2 linked regions of the Rhinolophus ferrumequinum genome follow. The protein of the gene in region 2 purifies or fractionates together with the protein of the main gene of each other region. This does not show direct contact. Links are inferred from orthologs where the notes say so. Each region holds a gene or a part of one and is shown on either strand. Other genes may lie near its edges.

What was found. Proteins that work in one complex are often made in the same cells at the same time.
Region 1: the proteins of RC3H1 (region 2) and CNOT7 purify together in Homo sapiens (affinity purification with mass spectrometry; 5 studies listed by BioGRID, with this or other methods). This does not show direct contact. The link is inferred for Rhinolophus ferrumequinum from reciprocal best matches to the Homo sapiens genes RC3H1 and CNOT7.

What each region holds. Positions count from the first base shown.
Region 1 is NC_046287.1:72,511,486-72,521,505, reverse strand, and holds the start of CNOT7 (CCR4-NOT transcription complex subunit 7), read left to right. Parts: upstream 1-5,415; 5' UTR 5,416-5,645; intron 5,646-7,126; 5' UTR 7,127-7,220; coding exon 7,221-7,337; intron 7,338-9,099; coding exon 9,100-9,293; intron 9,294-10,020. UniProt on the Homo sapiens protein: Has 3'-5' poly(A) exoribonuclease activity for synthetic poly(A) RNA substrate. Its function seems to be partially redundant with that of CNOT8.
Region 2 is NC_046305.1:8,832,230-8,842,546, forward strand, and holds the start of RC3H1 (roquin-1), read right to left. Parts: upstream 4,107-10,317; 5' UTR 3,867-4,106; intron 1-3,866. UniProt on the Homo sapiens protein: Post-transcriptional repressor of mRNAs containing a conserved stem loop motif, called constitutive decay element (CDE), which is often located in the 3'-UTR, as in HMGXB3, ICOS, IER3, NFKBID, NFKBIZ, PPP1R10, TNF, TNFRSF4 and in many more mRNAs.

The sequences.
Region 1 (10,020 bases), on a different chromosome or scaffold from region 2:
AGTACTATCTGCACCTGGAACAACAAACACAGTGAGGTACCTCTGAGGTAGCAGTGCCTAAGGAAGCTACTACTGTGTTTCCCCGAAAATAAGACCTGGCTGGACCATCAGCTCTAACGCGTCTTTTGGAGCAAAAATTAATATAAGACCCGGTCTTATATAATATAACTCTCCAAGGAAGTTATAAGGCTAAAGGTTTGCGTAATCAGAAAGAACAACGGTATCCAGGGACTGGCAACAAAAGAAAAATCTCAAAATAAAAGACTATGGAGATTGGCACTATTATTTTTAAGATACAAAATAACTGTCATTTACAGAGTACCTACTGTGTGCCAGATAATATTCTAGTTTCTTTATATGTATCATCCCTAAAATCCTTCAAAATAGGCACATTTCATTTGTGAATAAACTAACTCTTCGGAATGGACTTGCTTTCTGAATGGAAAGTTAGAAGTAGTCCTGCCAGAGACAAAGGAGGTGTAAACAGGCTTGTGAGAGATTTGCAAACAGTAAGTTAGCGCTAAAAAACAAAGGCTCCAGGCACACAGACTCTACGCAGTGGAAAAAGGAATGTATTTTGTAATATGCTTTCTATGTGCCAGATACGCTAATAAATTATTTATCTTCATGTATTACTTAAATATCAACAATTCTACACAATAGGAATCACAATTCCTGATTTTACAGATGGGAACTGGAAGGCTCAGAGAAGCTTTGTAACTTACTAAGAGGTCATGTTGCTATTATAGTACTATTTATTAGAGCCAGAATTGAAATCCATGACAGTCTAATTACAAAGCTTTCATTCACTTAAGTCAGGCTGCTTTTCCCAACGTCAGTATTTTTGCTTACTTCTACTTATGTTGCTCAAATTCATTTTGTCTTTTATCAAGGAACCTGAGGAACCTACGGACTTTCACAGCCGGGCAGGGCATTAAGAATTCAGGTAGTCAATCTTCCCATCTCAGCAGACCTAAGGTTATGTGAACATCCAAGGTTCACTGCTAGTTAATGATATACGTCAGCATCGCCTGACTTCTGGTTCAGGGCTTCTTTCATTAAGACTATTAGTTATACCAGAGTAAATAAACAAAAGCAATTCTGATAAACTTTAACTCACAAATTAGATTTTCTTATTGAATATAAAATAAAATTAGCACCAGAATTACCATGTACTTGATTATTAAAATGAATGCAGAAATCCTTTACTTGAGAGAGCTAATCTCCCTAAGTAAAAGGTAATAAAGGATTATTTGTATAACTTTGAATTTACATAGTTAATTACAGATAATAAGTACCATTTACAACATAGCTCCAGGTTGTGGTTTTCCAACTAAGGAAATAAAATAGTAATAAAAATAAGCTAATTAACTTTAGATATTGTGAGAGAAGAAACCAGGACAGTTAGGATGGTAACTGTTAAAGACTATTAGTTTTTGATATTTCTTGATTGCAGGGGCAATGCAGGGAAATACTTAACAGCTTCACTTCTGAAGAATCTTTAAATATTGGGATTAGTGTCACCTGGGATATTTCCAGGTTGAAAATAGCTATTAGGTTGGTGCAAAAGTAATTGCAGTTTAAAAGGTTAATTGCAAAAACCGCAATTACTTTTGCACCAACCTAATAAAAAAGTGACGGTTTATTACATGTGCTGCCGAAGCGAGCGATGGTTTATTAAGCTTACACTGCAAGAAGCCCAGAGACAGGAAGGTCCCAGAATTGGTTAATTCAGCATCACAATATTAGCACAGGCATTCCATCTTTCTACTCTTCCACAGTCAATACAGTCAGCTTGTATTCCTTCCTGATCCAAGCAGTTCCAGATGTCCCAACATGACAACAATATCCAAAACATAAGAGAAACATCTTTTAGACATCTGTATTATTGAGAAAACATATTGAGCAGCTCCGCAGCAGACTTCGACTTCTCCTTCAACTCCCACTGACCAAGGTTAAGAGTCCTGCTTTCAAAGTAACACACACAGGGCATGAAACCACCATCACTGGCATAAACAATCATTTACCTTCTGCGGTTGAAAGAGCATAGCCTCCATTGAATAAGTATGTGGTCTTGCAGGCCCAGAACCCAGATAAAAACAAGTGTTCTTCAAGAAGTCAGGGGAAATGGATATGAATGGGAAGCTCCCTTCGAGTGAGCTTCTTTAGGAAGTAGTAGAAACAGAATTAAGTTCTACTCCTGCCCAGAAAGTCAGGAGTTTTAGGTGGTAAATTACATAGTATGATGACTGTTATTCAGAAAGCAGAATATATTACTAGAGCCTAATCTATATAACTTTCAATTTCCATTTTACAGCAAACGTGCTTTGGTTAAACACTTTTTTTTTTTTTTTTTTTTTGGTCATATGACAGTTTCCTATTTGCCCTGCCTCTCCAGTAAGACTTAGATGAGGAAATACACATAAAATTTAGCTAACCTTTAGAAGAGTCCTGAGGGAGATGAGGAAAAATTTTTTAAGGTAACAAAAAAAGGAGTTTACATTTAGTAGAGAAAGGGAATTAAACAAGCTCTTTCCCAAAGTGGAATTTTTTTCATTATAAGGAATTGAAAGATAAGACTTGGAAAATAGATGAGAGAGAATGGGGTGGGAAAAGGTTCTTGAGGGCAGGCAAAAAAAAAATGAGATACTTTCACTGGCAGAAAAGAGCTGTTGACCTTACCTTTGGAGCAGGGATAGATATGATAACTGAGGGAGGTGGGCTGCATAAACAGGATATTGATATTCATAATTTAGAAAGTTTTTGTAATATTCATGAAAATAAAATACCATTCAAAACATTCTTTCAACTTTTAGAGTGTACCTTCAGAATAAGCACACAGTGTCCTTCTATACAAAATTCTTTAAATATAAATTGTATACTGCACAGATTATTTTTACCAGCTAGCTTTAAAATGTATGTCATGAGTTAAAAGGGCAGATTTAACAAAATAGGTGGATATCATTTTTTCTGGAATAGTACCATTCCCTGAAAACTGGAGGTATATGACCTACTTACTTAATTATCTCCAGAATTCCAAGTTTAGTTTATAAATGTGTAACATTTCAATAAAATAAAAGTTCAACTATTTTCATAAAAGAACTTAAAGGAAGAAAGAGTCCTTAAAATTAGATGTTTATAACATTACAAAATATGTAGATAATGTCACATGATCAATTATATGTCCAAAATTTCTGGCTCAAGAAATAAAAGTGATCCTTTCTGCATTTGACTCAAGAGCAGTTCCTTTCTGCAAATGATCCTTTCTGCATTTGACTCAAGAGCTGATGCTCTTACCAATTCCAGAACTCCTTAGATTAGCAATTCCTGTTTTAGAATCTTATTTGGGAAGTCAAAAAAAAATACATAATACATTCCAAATTGATCACTTCTCCTATTTACCAGCCTTAGCAGCAAAGGACTTGAAATATTTCAAAAATTCCACTCCAACCTCAAAGAACAAAAATTTGCCAGCAGTGACAATATTTAACACAATATACTAAAGGCTTAAAAACAATTAATTCCAAAGGTGTGGTTCTAAGAAGTATTTTGGCAATAGTAGTATTAGTTTAGTAGATAGTCTTCTAAGGTGACACTTTTTAAGAGGACAAACTTTTGTTATGTTTGTTAAAAATGAAGCATCTCTTGTGAGAGTAGCTCTTACAGGTTAGTGCGGAACACTGTTTAGAAGACTTCTAAGAACTCTATGAACTCAATTTTCCAAATAGAAAGCCACCATTAGATCAAAGAGTATACCACTCCTTCCTGTTAAATACCACAAATTTTCATCTTTTGAAAGTTCTGAACAAGCAGAACAACTGAGGCTAAAAAAACCAAGAAACAGCCGAAGTTTAGACAGCAATAGGCCTTATTTTAGCGAAATTGATTTTGCAATGAATTTTTCTTTTAACTATCTAATTTAAAACTATTCTATACTATAACTTACTTGCTTGGGAAAATATTAATGTAACAGATAAAATGGCTCCTAATAGTTCAATACTTAGTCGATTTTATTAACTCAGGATATATATTTTTAAAATGTATGAATAGTTTATTTTAAAAAGGGTTATAGTTGAGCGACGTTAACATCTTTACATTAAAATACATGTTATGACACTATTAAGTACATATACTTGCATAATTCATATAATATAAAGAGGCAGTTCTAATTTTTGAAAACCATTAGAGGCCACAGATATGTGCAATATAAAAGGCGGCAGCCATACCAGATTACAATAAAAACAACTGAAATCACTTGAATTGCAAAATATTTCTAATCTGACCACGAAGAAAATGAAAAACTCATAAAAGACAACAGAGCAGTCAGGATGAATATAAGACAACTCCTGAGTGTGGAAACAGTGAGGAATGTACAGAGTGGTAGTTGCCAGATACAAGGACGTTGTTGGAACAGCGTGAATCTTAAATTAGAGACTTAAGAGGATTGAGTATGTTTCTCCCAGAGAACTCGCTGATAAAAACTTTGGCTTCCCTCTCCTTTGCTGTTGCAGTTTTTTTTTCCCAAAAATTTTCCACTCTTTGTGAAACGTGGATATTATTCGTCACAATTCTTTTTAGCCAAATAGATTATTTTAACAATTTGGCTAAAGCGGCAATCAGCAGGCGAAAGGAAAGATTAGTGAGGAAGAACCTGGAAAGGAATGTTGGATGTAAACCATAAAAGAGATTAGTCAGCAGCGATGTGTCAGGAGGAATGAACAAGTCAAAATTAGAAGAGCTGAGCAGTGTTGGAGCAAGAGGGAGGGACCTGGAGGGTCCAGAGGAAAAATCCTGAACATAGGTCTGAGATGGCAGAGCAAATGTGAGACCTAGTACGAAGGGAGGTGGATCAAAATGAGGCAGCTGCTGGAGAGTCGGCCTGAGAAACTGTGAGTGTGATTAGGACCAGCCCGCCCTCCTGCCCTACTTTTTCCTCCTGTCCGAGAGGCAGCGACCAGTCACCTGGAGTGTGAGTTCCGGAGGGACTCGATCAGGCGCTGCTTCTGCTGTTGGAGGCTGGTGAGGCCACCGGGGGAGCCAGCTGCGGAGGAGGAGGCGCTCTTGGTCAGCGGGAAGAGCCAGCTCATCCTCCACGGGTCCCCGGGCCCGAGGCCCTAGACTGTTCTGGCCTGCTTCTCCCAGCTACTCAGCCCGGTGGTTCTCCAGCGACAGAAGACCAAGGCGCCGGAGGCCGGGGCTCCAGTGCTGGGCGGCCGCGTCTTCTCTAAGCAAGCCCGGCTGGGGGTCCTCGGGTTTTGGGGGGTATGCTATGACTACAGGTAACTGGAGAGAGGAAACTTGCCGCCCGGAACAGGCAGCCCTACCTTGGCGGCCCTGACGCCAAACCAGCCAGTCAGGCAGCTTCACAGCCCAGAGCTTTAACCACCCCAGCCTCCGTCACCTGCGTGCCCCGCCCCCTCTGCGTGTCGCGTCATCATCTAGCGCCCCCGCCAGGACGTTACGAGAAGCGACGGCGCAGCACGGTGCGGAGCAGCTCCGGCTCCCCTTTCCCCCTTGCCGGGCGAGCGGTGTCTATGGGGCATCCGCTGCCGCCGCCGCCGCCGCCGCTACCGCCACCGCCACCGCCGCTGGGTGCTGTCTCTATGGCGAGGAGGAGGAGGAGGAGCGCGAGCTCAGTGACACAAGTAGATCTTGCGTCTGCCGCAGACCTGCGGGGGGAGGGGCGGTTTGGGGAAGTAAAAAGGGGGTGGGGACGATGAACCTGAGAGGGTGCGCGATGGCGCCAGCTGGAGCTTGGCTGGCGAAGGACTGAGTTGGACGGCGGGCCGAGGCGGGGGAGGGTAACTGGGGCTGGGGTATGTCAAGGAGTTGGCGCGGAGTGATGACGTAAAGGCTTTGTACCTGGAGCTTCGATATTGTGGGATGGAAATTGGGGGTGGAGGGCGGTGGCCTTCATGCACAGCTAGCTCCACGTATTCCTTCGCGCACCAGTGCTTGGGAATCAGTCTGGCCCCAATGAATCCTTATCAGCACCTTCGCGCTGGCTCTGTGCCAGGGAAGGGAGTTAACTGACTTGAATGCTTCTATACTGTCCTCTCTCGTTTCTTTGGGAGCCTGCAGTACGGAGACTTTACCTACAGTAATGAGAAGGTTTCTGGTGCCTCATCGGAGCTTCTGGAACCGTGGTAGAGAGAGATGAAGTAAAGCAATGTTAAACAATAGGGTCTTTCCAAAGTGTGTGTGTGTGTGTGTTTCTTTCCAATGTGTGTGTGTGTGTGTTTAGCGTAGTGGACAGGGTTATAAAAGGGAACTCCCCTGGCTCTTAGAGCACTCGGTTACATTTGTTACTGCAGCGTTTAGAAGGGGGAGTAGTGTAATTCCCTCTTTTACCTTTGTTAAAATTTTTTCAAACTCCTTGTTTGAAGAATTTCCTTGCTCAAGAATCAAAATGTTGGTCTGTACTCTTATCATCATATACTATGCGACCAGTATTTATGGGCCAGAGAGTTGAGATTTATGTTTGGTAACCAGGGAAAATGCTCTTGAGTTTTAGGAAATTAGAAACAGTTTGAAATATGGACACACTATTTTCTCCTTTCTCTCTCCTGCAGTTATGAACATTCAGTCTCTGTGGCTATCTGTTACAGCTTTTTGTTGGTTTACTTTTGTCCCCTCCAATCTGGCTTGAATAAATGCCAGTAAAGGAGATTTTGTAATCAAAACAGATTTTGAATGTTTTGTTAATGAGGAATAAAAGCAGACATTATCTCTGTCCTAGTAGCATCTGATAGTCTCACATGTATATCAGTATTTCACCTTTCATATTTTGTCTGGAAATGGATGTCTTTACAAAGTTTTATTCAGAGAGTCAGTTGAAGTCACAGCAGTCTGTAATTATTGGAAAGTTTTAAGAAATGATTAGTATGTATACATAAAAAATACTATTTTTACGTAACATTGGTATTAGAACCAGGAAACTTGTGTTGTGGTCCTTTTTTTCCTACTGATTAGATGTGTGACTTTAGAAAGGTCACTTCCCAAACTTTGATTTTCTTATGAATCAAAGACTTTGAATAAATAATCTTTTAGGTTTCTGTCAACTCAATTATTCCATAATTTCATTTTCTGATACAGCTGGGTTTTATTTTGGTTTTTATTATGACAGGTACACAAATAAAGGATAAAGTATTTTATGAAACAAATCTTCAATCAAATATAATATTTTGATGCTTGGCAGCTAGACTTCTTGTGCCCTCACTATGCCAGCAGCAACTGTAGATCATAGCCAAAGAATTTGTGAAGTTTGGGCTTGCAACCTGGATGAAGAGATGAAGAAAATACGTCAAGTTATCCGAAAATACAATTACGTTGCTATGGTATGCCTGTGATCAAATATCCTTAAAATACTTCTTATAAAAGGGGAAGAAGGATTTTTAAAGTCTTGAATTCGGCCCTTCTGGTTGATTTTTTTTTTCCCATGGATTTTATTATGAAAATTGTCAGTATCCTCCAACCAAAGACCACCTGGATCACACCTGTAATGTGACAAGTTGGGTTGATTTACTCACTGCGTGAGGGAAAACGCATACCTTTGGAGGATCTGGGGGCATTTGAATAAGACTGTGTTAAAAAGGACTTTTGTGTCAGGTGGTTTTAGGGAGGGATGAAGGAAGCCAGACTTTGCTCTGGATTGGATAGTGTCATAAAGCTGGGTAATTATATGATAGGGTATCTTAAGTCTTAACTACATTGAGAGAAGATGAGAGTGAAGCTAAAGCTATAAAGAAGCAACAGTTATGTTTTTGTTATTTTAGTTATGGTAATAGAGTGGCCTTGTCTGGTGTTGAAGTGTGAAATTGTTTATATTGGACAGAAGAACATTAGGACCTAGCTATGAGTGCCAGGTCAGCACCTAGCAACACTAAGGCCTAACTGATAGTACCAGATGAGCTCCTGTAAGCTAGGGAACTCTTGGATGTCTTTCTCAAATAAAAAAAAATCAGCTTCCCAGTGAAACATTGTTGATCTGCAGTTTTTTGTTTGGTTTTTTAATTTATTTTAGTTATCAGTGGAGTTTCATGAACACACTGCTTTTGCATATACTATTCAATCTGCCTGGACTGTCTACTCAGTTAATTATTTTGCTTCTTTACTACTGTATCTCATACATCTGTTATAGCCACTCTACCATTTTCTAGATAATCAGCTTTGTGAAGCAAAGGGTTAGTATCTTAATCATCCTTTGTCCTTCTGACATCTAGCATAACATATTAGCATCCAATAAAGTCGTTGAGTTGGACTGAATTTAGAGAAGTTTCCATTTTTTTACTCTTTATGATAACTTGGTATTTAGATTTTGTTCTTAGCTTCCTGATGTATCCTTTTCCCAGTATTTTTAATATAAATAAATATGCTCTGTGGGAAGGGGAAGGTTGATTGGTTGAAATACGAATATTTAAGTGTACATAGATAATGTTCTATTTAATAAATCTGTACTTACTCATAGTTAGAATTGAATTTTTTTTTTAATCCAAAAGAAGTTGATAGTGATCAGTTATTTCTTAGATAATAAGGAGTGACAACATTAGAGACATGATAGCATTCTACAGGAATGAGTGGGCAGCATACAGTTTTTGACAGCATGCTTTCTCTGGAGTATAGAGAGAATGCTGTTTAAGTCCAAGAAATTAGGAGGGTTTTGGTGTTCAGATAAACTTTGCCTGAGAAAGTCATTAGAAAGTATGACGCCTTTCCATTCTTTTAAACTAGTTCTTTGTTGCTTTTAACGTTAGAATAGCATAGTTTCACATGCTCCTGGAGAAACATGAATTTATTATTTTCCCTCTTTCTTGGGCATAGAGTCCTTGATTGCATTTATCATTTGTATCTTATACATAGTAATTTTTACTGATGTAATATTTAAAGTAAGAAAAGTTCATTAAGTTTGTAGAGTTTTATTTTATGGTTCCAAAAAGTAATGCACTTACTAGTTAAAGGTACTTTGTAATGGAATAAAAGGTACTTTGTAATATGTAGATAACAACAGGATTCTTTGACTTGTACTACCAAAATTAATTATTCTAGGATTTTGTGGTTTGTGGTTTTTAATAAATAATGAGTTTTAAAACTATTTTACAGGACACCGAGTTTCCAGGTGTGGTTGCAAGACCTATTGGAGAATTCAGGAGCAATGCTGACTATCAGTACCAACTATTGCGGTGTAATGTGGACTTGTTAAAGATAATTCAGCTAGGACTGACATTTATGAATGAGCAAGGAGAATACCCTCCAGGAACTTCAACTTGGCAGTTTAATTTTAAATTTAATTTGACGTAAGTGGGAAATAAATATAACCCAAACTTTTTTTTTTAGTTTAATTTTAGGAATTGATTTCCCTTGAGTATGGTGAATGAAATTCTAAATGAATTTCGCATAATTATCCTGTAAAAACTTAAAACCTAAAATTTCAAAGGTTAGGTATTTTTACTTTTTATTATTGGACAAAAAACTTTGAATAAAGAAGACCTTTAAATTCAAGTACCTAGAATTTTAGAGATGTTATGTGAAAGTATGCCCTTTTATTGAAATTTGGAAAACTTTGGGTATTTAAAATACTTCTTGATAGAAAAAATAACCTTATCACATTTGTCTTACTTTCAAACTTGATGTACAATTTGAAACATGTACATCTTTGTTGTAGTAGTTACCCTTCTTGTAAAGAGATTTGTGTTTATATTCATATCCCAGTTTATGAGTGGATTACACGTCAAAGGTAGTTGAGACGTTTCTTGGAAACTAGGTGCATTTTCCTTTCAAAACGATTTTATGTAATGGCCATATTCCCAGGTCAGCCCACAGAACCTCTTACAAAAATTACATGCAGAAGAAGTAATAACACCCTTGAAACTGGTGTTTTGTTCAGAATCTGGCAGATTGTTTTCCAGAATCTGAATTCTAACTCAAGCCCTGGGTTGAAACCCAGTTTCCTTACTTGTAGTCTTTCTCTGTCTTTGGTAAGAGTAGTCTTGATAGCTTAGGGAAGTTTAGAGTGTTTTGAGT
Region 2 (10,317 bases):
TTTGTAAATAATTTCAAAGAAAAATACAAATGAACCTTAAAACATTTATTCCTCTAAGACAGAATGCAATTTCAGTCAGCTTCACTGTGCATGTAAGGTAGACTCAAAATCTGTACTAGAATTCTTTTCCTGAACCAATCAGGAAAACACTGTGAACTGGTAAGAAGTGTCTAATATCACATAAGTAAACAGGCACAAGTCTGACCAATATGGATATAAACAAAGACACTAAAGCTGTCTTAGAGATTCAGGGCAACATTAATTCAGATTAGTAAACTCCACACTGGAAAATGTATAGAATTTACCTTAAGAAACTTTGGTGTGAGAAAAATTCCTTTGTATAAATGCCTGACAAAATTAATATTATGTCATAACCTCTGGGGCTAGTCCAAATCCAGCCTGGACTCCAGAATTAAACAAAAGAGAGGAGATCTTAAAGAGGACCCTACAGAACAGGCTGATTTCAAAATCTACTGTGACTATTTTGATGCAGGCCAGTCTGAGAATTTAAATCCACTGGAATCCAACCCCAAGGAATACTTGAACTACCGGAGTACTGACAGGGCTGAAGTTAAACCAGGTCAGTACACCCTGCCAAGGAACATGTTGCTCCAAGGTGTCCACCAAACAAGGATCATTTATCAGCTTATTCTTCATCTTATTGGATGCCAACCACTTTCAAGATATATGCACGAGTAGCCTGATTAGATCCTATCAAGCTCCATTTCAAGCCCTAAGATCTAGAGATTAAAAACACGCTGCCGAATTCTAAATGGTTTATGACTTTAAAAAATGTAACTGAAGAATTTCAAATGCTAGCTGACCCAACTTTAATATCACTGAATGTTACTAAAGTCATTTTTAAATTTTCATAAAGTATTTCAAAGGCACAACTTAGTAGCTGCTTACATAATTAAAGCCATGAAACATAGTAATACTACAAATCTGTCGTATATAAACGGTATGAGTTTCTATATTCATAGTATTTAGATCTGCTAAAAGCAAAAATAAGTATTTCTGTCATAATTCACACAAATAAATACTTTCTCAAACTTGTAAGTGAATATTTGGCAGGGTACAAATAACAATACTAGAACGGATATTAGGGCTAAAGACAAATACAGGATTACAAGACATAGTTCATGGTCAAAACTAGGAATCTGTCAATACGTTAGATGCTTCAAAGTTTAACCTTGAAACATATGGTAGCAGTAATGAAGCATCTAATCTGTCACAGGACCTGGGTTTGAGTAAGCTCTTTTACCTATTAATTACTGTGTGGCCTTTTTGCTATTTACTTAGCTTCTCCTAGCCTCACAGTCTTCATATACAGAAGGAGAACGATATCGCCAACATTATAGCCTAACTAGGAGAATTAAATGGGAACGTTTTACTCATTCAACGAATATACTTTGAAACACTAATATTTTTATGGCCAAAAAAAACCACAAAAACCAACAACTGTCAAATCTTTTGAAATGAATCAAACATTTATTAACTTTCAATATTACCAAGTAAATGCAAATCTGATTCCTAAGCTATGGTACCTAAACTTCTTACAAGGAAATTCTTCAACACCACTTGAGAAAATCTGAACTGAAATAATCAGAATAAACGCTGATAATGATGATATGACAATTGAGGGATCACATTTTAAAACAGTTTGACACAAAAACAGAATTCTCTAAGAACTTTTTCAATGTTAAACAGATATAGGGACCCAGACTCGACCCATAAATTGTTGCGTCAACATCTACTTTCAAACACAAAATCTAACACTTAAAGCTTTGTTTTTAGAAAAATGGTATTAGGCATGAGGCAAATGATAATTTAGGATTATAATATAATACAACAAGAGATTTTTTTTCCATAACAAAGCACGCTAATAACTTACAATTTACAAATTCATAAGTTACTACATTTGTTGCAATGTTAGGGTCACAGATAAATTTAAGAATCGTTGCAATATAGACTTTACTTGCATGCTGTATCGATCTAACAAAACTTGGCATTTAAAAAAATCATGGATTTGAGCACTTAGAGAAAGGTGTCCTTTGTGAAACTTATGCCCAGAAAATTCACATAAGCAAGAGCCATGTGAAAGTTGTTCTTTCTTTCACTTAATCAAAACATCCACACATCTATGCATAAAAGGAAAGCCATTCGTATTTATCCACTATACTTTACTCCTAAACAATGAGATAGTTCAACCTCCATGTTTATTCAATTGCTAGTCTATTTACTGTCAACTCTTGTGGAAGACCTAAGGACTCATTAAACCTCATATACTGTAACCTGAAAATGCTTTGAATTACGACAGACAGGCAATTCTAATGAGAAATTTACCCTAAACACAGGTGAACGATATTAACTGGCATCTTCTCAGCACAGGTCAATCTTCCTTTTTAAGAACACAAACTAGATGGACTATGCAATTGAATGTTAAATAGTGGAGCAATCTTCTTGGATGCATCCAAAGAACATTAATATAAATTTCTGCACACCTAGGTAGAAACTGGAATAGAAGAAACTTAAATGATTTTTCCCCCATCATTTGTCGTGGTAGGTGCCTTTGAAAAATTAAGTTAAGGAGAAATAGTAATTGTAGAAGTTTCAGATACCACTACAGTAGGGCAAATATAATGAACAGCTGTCTCTTGATAAGTTTAAACATTCAAAACAACAACAGTTGTTTCTAGTTTTTGAAAATTGTAATATAATCAAGTTTTGAAACCTTATCAAATCTGCTTCAGAAACCCAATTTCAAACTTAGAGGACAGGGCTGGTCTTGCACAATTTTAGGGCAAATTACTGAACGACAAAATTAGAACATGAGACAGGACACAAGAAGTTCTAGCCTGCAGATGAACCGCATCTGTCTCCTGAAGAAATGCTCCACGAGGTCCGTTTCGAGCTGTTGTTGTGTCTTATGCGGCACATTAATAATTCAAAAACGGTTCCTTTGGAGAAAAGTTCTATTCAAACATTACAATTTGTCTTTGCGTTGCCAGTAAAAGGCTTTGTTTTCAGTTTCATGGACTATTCTGGGATGTCAAGAGTTATGATGACTGCTCCAAAAGCGTCCTTGTTCCACTCTCACCCGGGACGTGGGCATAAGTGATGTTCAGAGAGAACTGATGCCCAGGGAGGTGTTTAAAGAGGAACGTCCCGTAGATAGACGTCCATCCCTCTCCATCCTCCATCGCTAATCACCTTTTACCTTGCATTTGTTGTTGCTGCACTTACATATTTTTTTAAAAAAGACACCTGCATACACAATTTGCCTATCGCCGCCGGGAAGAAAGACTATATCGGTCCATCTCCAGGGAAATAGACGTCGTAAAACCCATTCCTCCGGGGAAAGGGAGCGCCTAAGGGGTTGGGGAAATGAACTGCCCTGAGGGGGAGGGAGGCAGAGGCGGCGCCTGTTTACAGACGCCTTCACCTCCCCCACCCCACAAGCTGAGGGTCCAAAAGCGTTTCCGGGGCGCAGTGGCCTCCCGGCCTGGGCCCCCGGAGTCACAGAGGACCTGGGCAGCCTGCCGGCCCCAAGCCTCGGGCCGAAGCCGCGCTCGCCCTCCCCTCGTCCCGGGCGGCGTCCGCACCTCCCCACGGCCGGCCTCCCCACCCGGGCAGGCCCTCCAGGCGGCACGCGGAGGCCTGAGGCCTGAAGGCCGCCGGCCACTGACAAGCCCCTCGGCCGCCGGCGGGGCCTGAGGCCCGGCGGGCGGGCGGACGCGGCCGCCGAGGAGCGGAGGGCGGGCGAGGACAGCCCCTTCCCCGCCGCGGCTGCCTATTGTTCCCGACCGAGGCCGGGCCGCGCCGCCCCGCTCCCCACGCCGCCGCCGCCGCCGCCGCTCGCTCACCGCGCTGGTCCGAGCAGCAGCTCCTCTCAGCTCCGAGTCCCCGCGGCCGTCGCCACCGCCGCGGCAGCCGCCGCCGCCGCCGCTACCACCGTCGACTCTGACTCTGTCCCAGGCCGCCGGGCCACGGCCACGGCCGTCACTGCCAGCGCCGCCTCCGGCCTCCCACCTGCTGCTGCTGAGGCTGCTCCGGCAGCAGGGGCCATCTTGTTGGTCGGCCTCCCCTTCCTCCTCCTCCTCCTCCTCCTTCGCCACCCGGTCGCTCGTTGTCCTCGTCCCCTTCCTCTTCCTCGGGCTCCGGCCCGCCCCGGAGACTGGGGCGGAGATCAGGGCGAGGCCCCTCCTTCCGGGGGCGGGGCGAGCGGAGGGGCGGGGCGGGGCGGGGCGGGCTAAGGAGGAAAGCTCTGAGTCACCGGCCCCCGACGCCGGGAGCGAGGCTGGCGACGCTCACCGCCGGGACCCGAGCGCACCCACGCCCTGAGCCGAAGAACTGGTCCATCCGTCTGCCTGGCCCAGCCCCCACCAACGCCTCTGCGCCCAGCGGGCAGGTGGCCAGACGGTGAAGGTGAATTGCAAAATTTCTGGCGTTTCCATCCAATCCCGCACTACCTCCATCTACCAACCCCCTTGACTTTCTCAGTCTTGTCCCTCCACTCTTGTTTCTTTTCCATATCTCCCCTCACACCCCCCAGAAGAATTTGTTCTTAACTCTTTGTATCCAGGTTCTCCATCACACCAGCTTTGCCCAAGTCACCCCTCTCACAGAGTCCCGAACGAGTCCAGCCTCCCAACTGGGTGAAACAGCCCGAAGGCCAGTACGCTCACTGCCCCCAAACGTCTCTCCAGGCCTGTGGGCACCGTGAGAGCCCTCTGGGGGGAGGACAGGAGAACTTGGCCCCTACAAGAGCTCCTGCATCTAAGCGCTAACCTCGTAATTACTGCAAGTTTCTTCTTCAAGGAGAAGAAGCCATTTTGATATGGGGTAATGGGAGACCCCTGCAAGACAACGCGGTGTAGCCAAACCCTTGCTTTTAAGAAGGGAGAGAAATGGAATTCTTTTCATACCATGCAGTCCTAATTTCAAAATGAATCGTCTGGAATAGAGGAGGGAGATTGTCCTCAAATAATCACCCAGTTAATAGTCCTCTCTGCATTGTCCCTTTTTTTGCCTCAGGTCTTGACCAAGAGCAGAGATTTTTGCTTTCTTGTCCTTTGTTCACTGCATACATCACTACCAAGGAGAGTAATGGACTATATTTAGAGACGCTTCTGCCTTTATCGTGATAAATCTAATCACTATGACAGATAGTGTTTTTATTATTTGTAAATAACATATCACACACCTTCCTAAACTCTGAGCGGGGAAGAGTTTTTTTTAGCTGCTAACACCCTCCTGTACTCCAGAGTTCAGCTTCTTTCTAGAAGACCTATTGATGTCTTCCTATTGATTGGAAATTACTGCCTTCGAAGTGGGACTACATCAGTAACCTCTTCAACCTACTACTTAGTAACCCCAGTCCTACAAAGAGTAAATTTCTAGCTGTCACAAAGGGATTGGGCTAGCGAGTGCTAACCTAAGGGCCATCTCCCTCAAACAGCCAAGCCTCAATCCCCTGCTAGGAGAAACAAATTAATCTGTTCCTGCTTTTCCTCCCCCTCCCTTCTCACTCCTAGGGAACCTTCCACAACAGAAGGTTTTAGCGGCTGTTGCTAGGCAAACATGCCAACCTCCCTTGTTTAGGTGAAGCTAGTAACCCAACTTCCATTACAACCTAGCAACCTAGATAATATAATTTCTTTGAACTATTAATAGTTGTACGTCAGTTGGTAAAGCCCCTTCAAGTTTCCCTTTAAAAAATACGACTTTTAGGTTATATTAATTTCATCAATATTTCAGTTAAACATAAGTTGAAAATGGAAGGGCTTCCCAAAATTCATTTTAACAATATAATTAAACAGAAACATTTAGCAGAAGAGCAGCTTTGAAGAAAACACTGAAGTGTTTACAATAAAAACTAATGAAAGAGAAGCCGTTTATATTCTTTAAGCTACCCAGTTAGTCTAAATGTATAGAAAGATACAGAGAATAATTTATCTCCTGAGACTGAGTCTATTTAGAAGAAAAATGCTATGGTTATTCAGTGAGGGAAAAAAAAGATATTTTGGATTTTATTCCCAAATTAATTCTGTAAGAATTTTAGCTAGTGAATCAAGCTTTTTTTTTCCTGATTTTGCTGTTTTTAAGTTATTGCTATGTTATGTAATGGTAACATTTTTCAGGGTGTCGCGAATTTATATAAATAAGATTAAATAAGACATGTTGACTTTTATATTACATATATTTAAACTTCTAAACTTAAAATTATATAATTGTTGAATCCAGTGAAATTTGTATTAATATAGTGAAATAGTGTTTGAGAATTACCTTGAGCCAAGGTAACACATTAAGAATGAATTACTAAAGACAAACAGCTTAAGTGTTTTATATTCATTATACTTAGAAATCATTATTTTGTAGCTTTAACACAATTTAAACAAGTTAGTTTTATTTTCTATTTTATTTAGTTCTTATATGGAATGCCTAGAAATTTAGACCCTGTCTCGTCCTCCACCATTGATATGCTATGAAAATTAAATGAATCATTTCATGTGAAGGACTTAGAACAGAGCGTGGCACATAGTAAGTACTCAAATTTTTTTTAAAACCATTTTATGTTTGTGTCATTAGAGTCTTTAGTTTCTTGATCAAATAAGGATGACAAGTCATGAAATATGTTTTTGCTCTTGGCATGAGCTCTAAAATAAGTAATGCTACTTTTTAGATCACACACAAATTAGAATAATGCCTGATGAATTTTTTCAATGCCTGTACTATATTGTTCTTATTTATTTGTTTTTTGAGAATAACCTCTGCTTTTTAGGTTATACTGAATGATTTTTTAAGATACTACATACTTACAAATCGCTCTGGAATGTGTAATTGTACACCTACAGCATTGTTTGTCATATTAAAGCTAGAAAAGACCTTAGATACTAACCCACTTATTTCAACAAATGAGATAGAGACTAAGAAAGGATAGCTAGGCCACCTATCTACCCAACTCCTTATTTATAAACACTCTTATTGAGGAGGGGGTTAGAGAGCTGTAAGGGCTGGGATGGGAGGAGAAAATACACATGTGAATGAGTCATGTGTCCGTGCCTTAAAAAAAATTAACGCCATAGTGGGAATACAATAAGACATGCATGTTAACTACTAGAGTATAAAGTAGCTTGGTGATATTGCATACAAACTACCAAGTGCTATGAAAGTTAAAAGGAAGAAATAGTATGAATCTTAATTCTAATGTCACAGAACCTACCTTTTCACCAGTGACAATACTATGTATGATATTAGATATGTACCCAGAGGCATAGAAGTACAGTCAGCTCTCAATTCAGGGCAGGTAGGGATGAGGAAGAACAAGGAATAGGGAATTGGAGGTGTGGCAATAGAGTTTGGATTGACTAAAAAACCTGGTTAAAGTACAGGTGGGACCTGAGAACTCTTCAGTGTAAATCATTTATATAGGGGTAGTGGGGAATGACATTCTCAAACACAAACACGCACAAAATGGGAGTACTGGAGTGGGGTCATTTGAATTTTCTGAGCTGCTTTAGGTTCAATAAGGATGGGAGGCCAATTGAGTCCTCTCCATCATTCCCTCCTTCCTCTTCCCCTCTACGTAGATTCTCCATAGCCTACTCCCACCCCCTGACCTCACTCCTATTACCAGTGTCCATTAAGATAAATCTCTAGAAAAGAAATAAGAAATACAGATAGATGTCTCGAGCCATTACACTAAGGAAATAGGAGGAAACTAATAGTTTCTGACCTACCCTTCACCTTTAGAGTCCAGTCCCAAGTAGACACAAGTCAACATTTGCGGATTAGGCCTAAGGGGTTACCTTAGACTCAGGGTAACAATCCAAAGTAATCATGGCAGATGTAGGCCAAGTCAATTCTGGGAATTCTGCAGCTGGATCCCTATAGACTTGATTGCCAAATAGGTAAATAAAACCATGTTTCTGACTCTTACCTGCAATTACTTCTGAGCGGACTTACCTCCCGTGAAAGCCTCCCAACATTGAGCATATCTGAAGCTCAGTTGACCTCCTAAGACTTATCCCAGGGTGATAGTAAACAGCACCCTTTTATTAAAGAGACATCAAACAACTTTCTGCAAAGAGGCTCCTTGTAGGCGCTACTTTAAACAGTGTGATAAAAGAAAGTAGCTGCCTTTTCACTGGGCAAAACTCAGTGGAATATTGTTGGTTTTCGATATTGTTGGTGTTAGTTTGCTAGGGCTGCCATAAGAAATACCACGGACTGGATGGCTTAAACCACAGAAATTTTCTCACAATTCCACGAAGGCTAGAAGTCTAAGAATAAGATATAGGCAGGTGAGGTTTCTTCCAAAGCCTCTCTCCTTGGCTTGTGGAGACTATCTTCTCCCTCCGTCTTCGCTCTGTGTCTGTATGTGTCCTAATTGCCTCTTACAAGAACACCAGGCGTATTGGGTTAGGACCTACCCATATGACCTCATTTTGCCTTAATTACTTCTTTAACAATCTTATCTCCAAATACAGTCACATTCTGAGGTACTGGAGGTTAAGCCTGTGACATGATTTGGTGGGGGAGAGGAGTGGACAGAATTCAGCCCATAATAACAACAAATGCTCACTTTAAGAATACCATACTTATGAATAAAACGCACCCTTGTTGAAGGAACAGTTTTAAATCTACCCAGTTAAATCTGAAGCACTTCTTTTTCTGATTACTTTTTGCATCATGAAGTATCAATGCTTGGGAGGTATACATTAGCAACAACCAATAGGATACTAGAATAAAAAAACTGATTACCAAAATTATCTGAGTCACACCACAAGAGGCTAGAAAACACGTACCAGAATGTGAATAGACTCATGATTAGTATGAAAGGAGTCATATTTATATAGCTAATGATTTAAACCTCATTTAGAGTTCCATCTTGTGTAAATAAGCAATTATAGATATATTACGGTCAAATGTATTTTATAAGCAAATGATATCCTGTAGCACAAATGTATGTTCACTATCTCTTAGGCAACATTAGGTTTATCATGTCATGAGTAGCCAGTTAAGAAAAAGTTGGACATTTCATGTGTAAATCATTCAGGAAACCAGAATTTGAAAGTGTGCTTTAAGCAAGATGGAATCGAACCTTTTTTTTCCTCCATGCCTAACTTTGTAGGATCTGGACTTTTAGAGTTCTTTACGATGTTTCAAGAGGTTAGAGATTCAAGATGAGCTCTGTTAGTTGGAGGCAGGTCACGAACCAGATAGATGTCCCTATGGTAGACTCCTCACTGAAGATGAATATTCAGCTTCATGTTACTCCATGAGTTTATTTCACTCTTATCCTCTACATTTCAATAAAGTCTGATTGTAATGTCCCAGTCTTTTCTCAGCTGTGCCACCTTCTAAAAACAGGCGAGTTCTGCAGCCATACTTAGGCCAGTCGTTCTCATGCAGGCCAATGTACATCCGTAATGGAAATACCTGCAGCTCCTCCAGAGGAGAAGCAAATCTCAGGGAATAAGAGTCAGAGTCTTTCTCTACCTGGATATTTGTCTTCTGTTGTCAGTGTTGGACAGGTAGAAAGACTTATTACCACCCAAACTCCACCACTTATTAACTGTGTGAGTTTCTCCAAGTTAAGCTTAGAAAGCTTCAATTTCCTTTACTATAAACGAAGGGATTGTAAAATGTACCTGAGATGGTTTTTATGGAGATTAAAATGAGAAAATACATGTAGAGTATCAAGTACAATGCCTGATGTCTATCACTCAATGAATGAGAGTTATTGAAATTATACTAGGTACTGAGTGTTGCATTAGACCAGTGATTTTCAGTTTTGCTGTGAATTTTTAAAAACTATATATCTTCTGCTCTGACCCTAGAGATTTTGATATAAGGTGTTGGTGTGGGGCCAGGGATTTTTTTTTACCTTTTGGGGATTTTACATGTTATCCCATCCTACGATCTGAGGTAAGAACCACTGATATAGATCAATGGTCAGTAAGCTTTTTTGTAAGTGGCCAGACTTGTATTTTAGGCTTTGTGGGCCATACGGTCTCTGTCAACTACTCAACTCTGCCATGGTAGCAGGAAAGCAGCCACAGACAATATGTAAACATATGAGCATGACTGTATTTCAATAAAACTTTATTTGCAAAAAGAGATGGTGGACTGGATTTGACTCCCAGACTGTTGTTTGTCAACCATGTCTTATTGGAAGAGAGATTATATTCGCTAGAGCCAGGAAAAGTATTATTATTATGTTCAACAGCAGCATTAAAAGCCTTACATGTAATGAGCAAGGTTTGGTGTTAAACGTAATTAATTAAACAAAGCTCCTGCATTCCAAGGAAT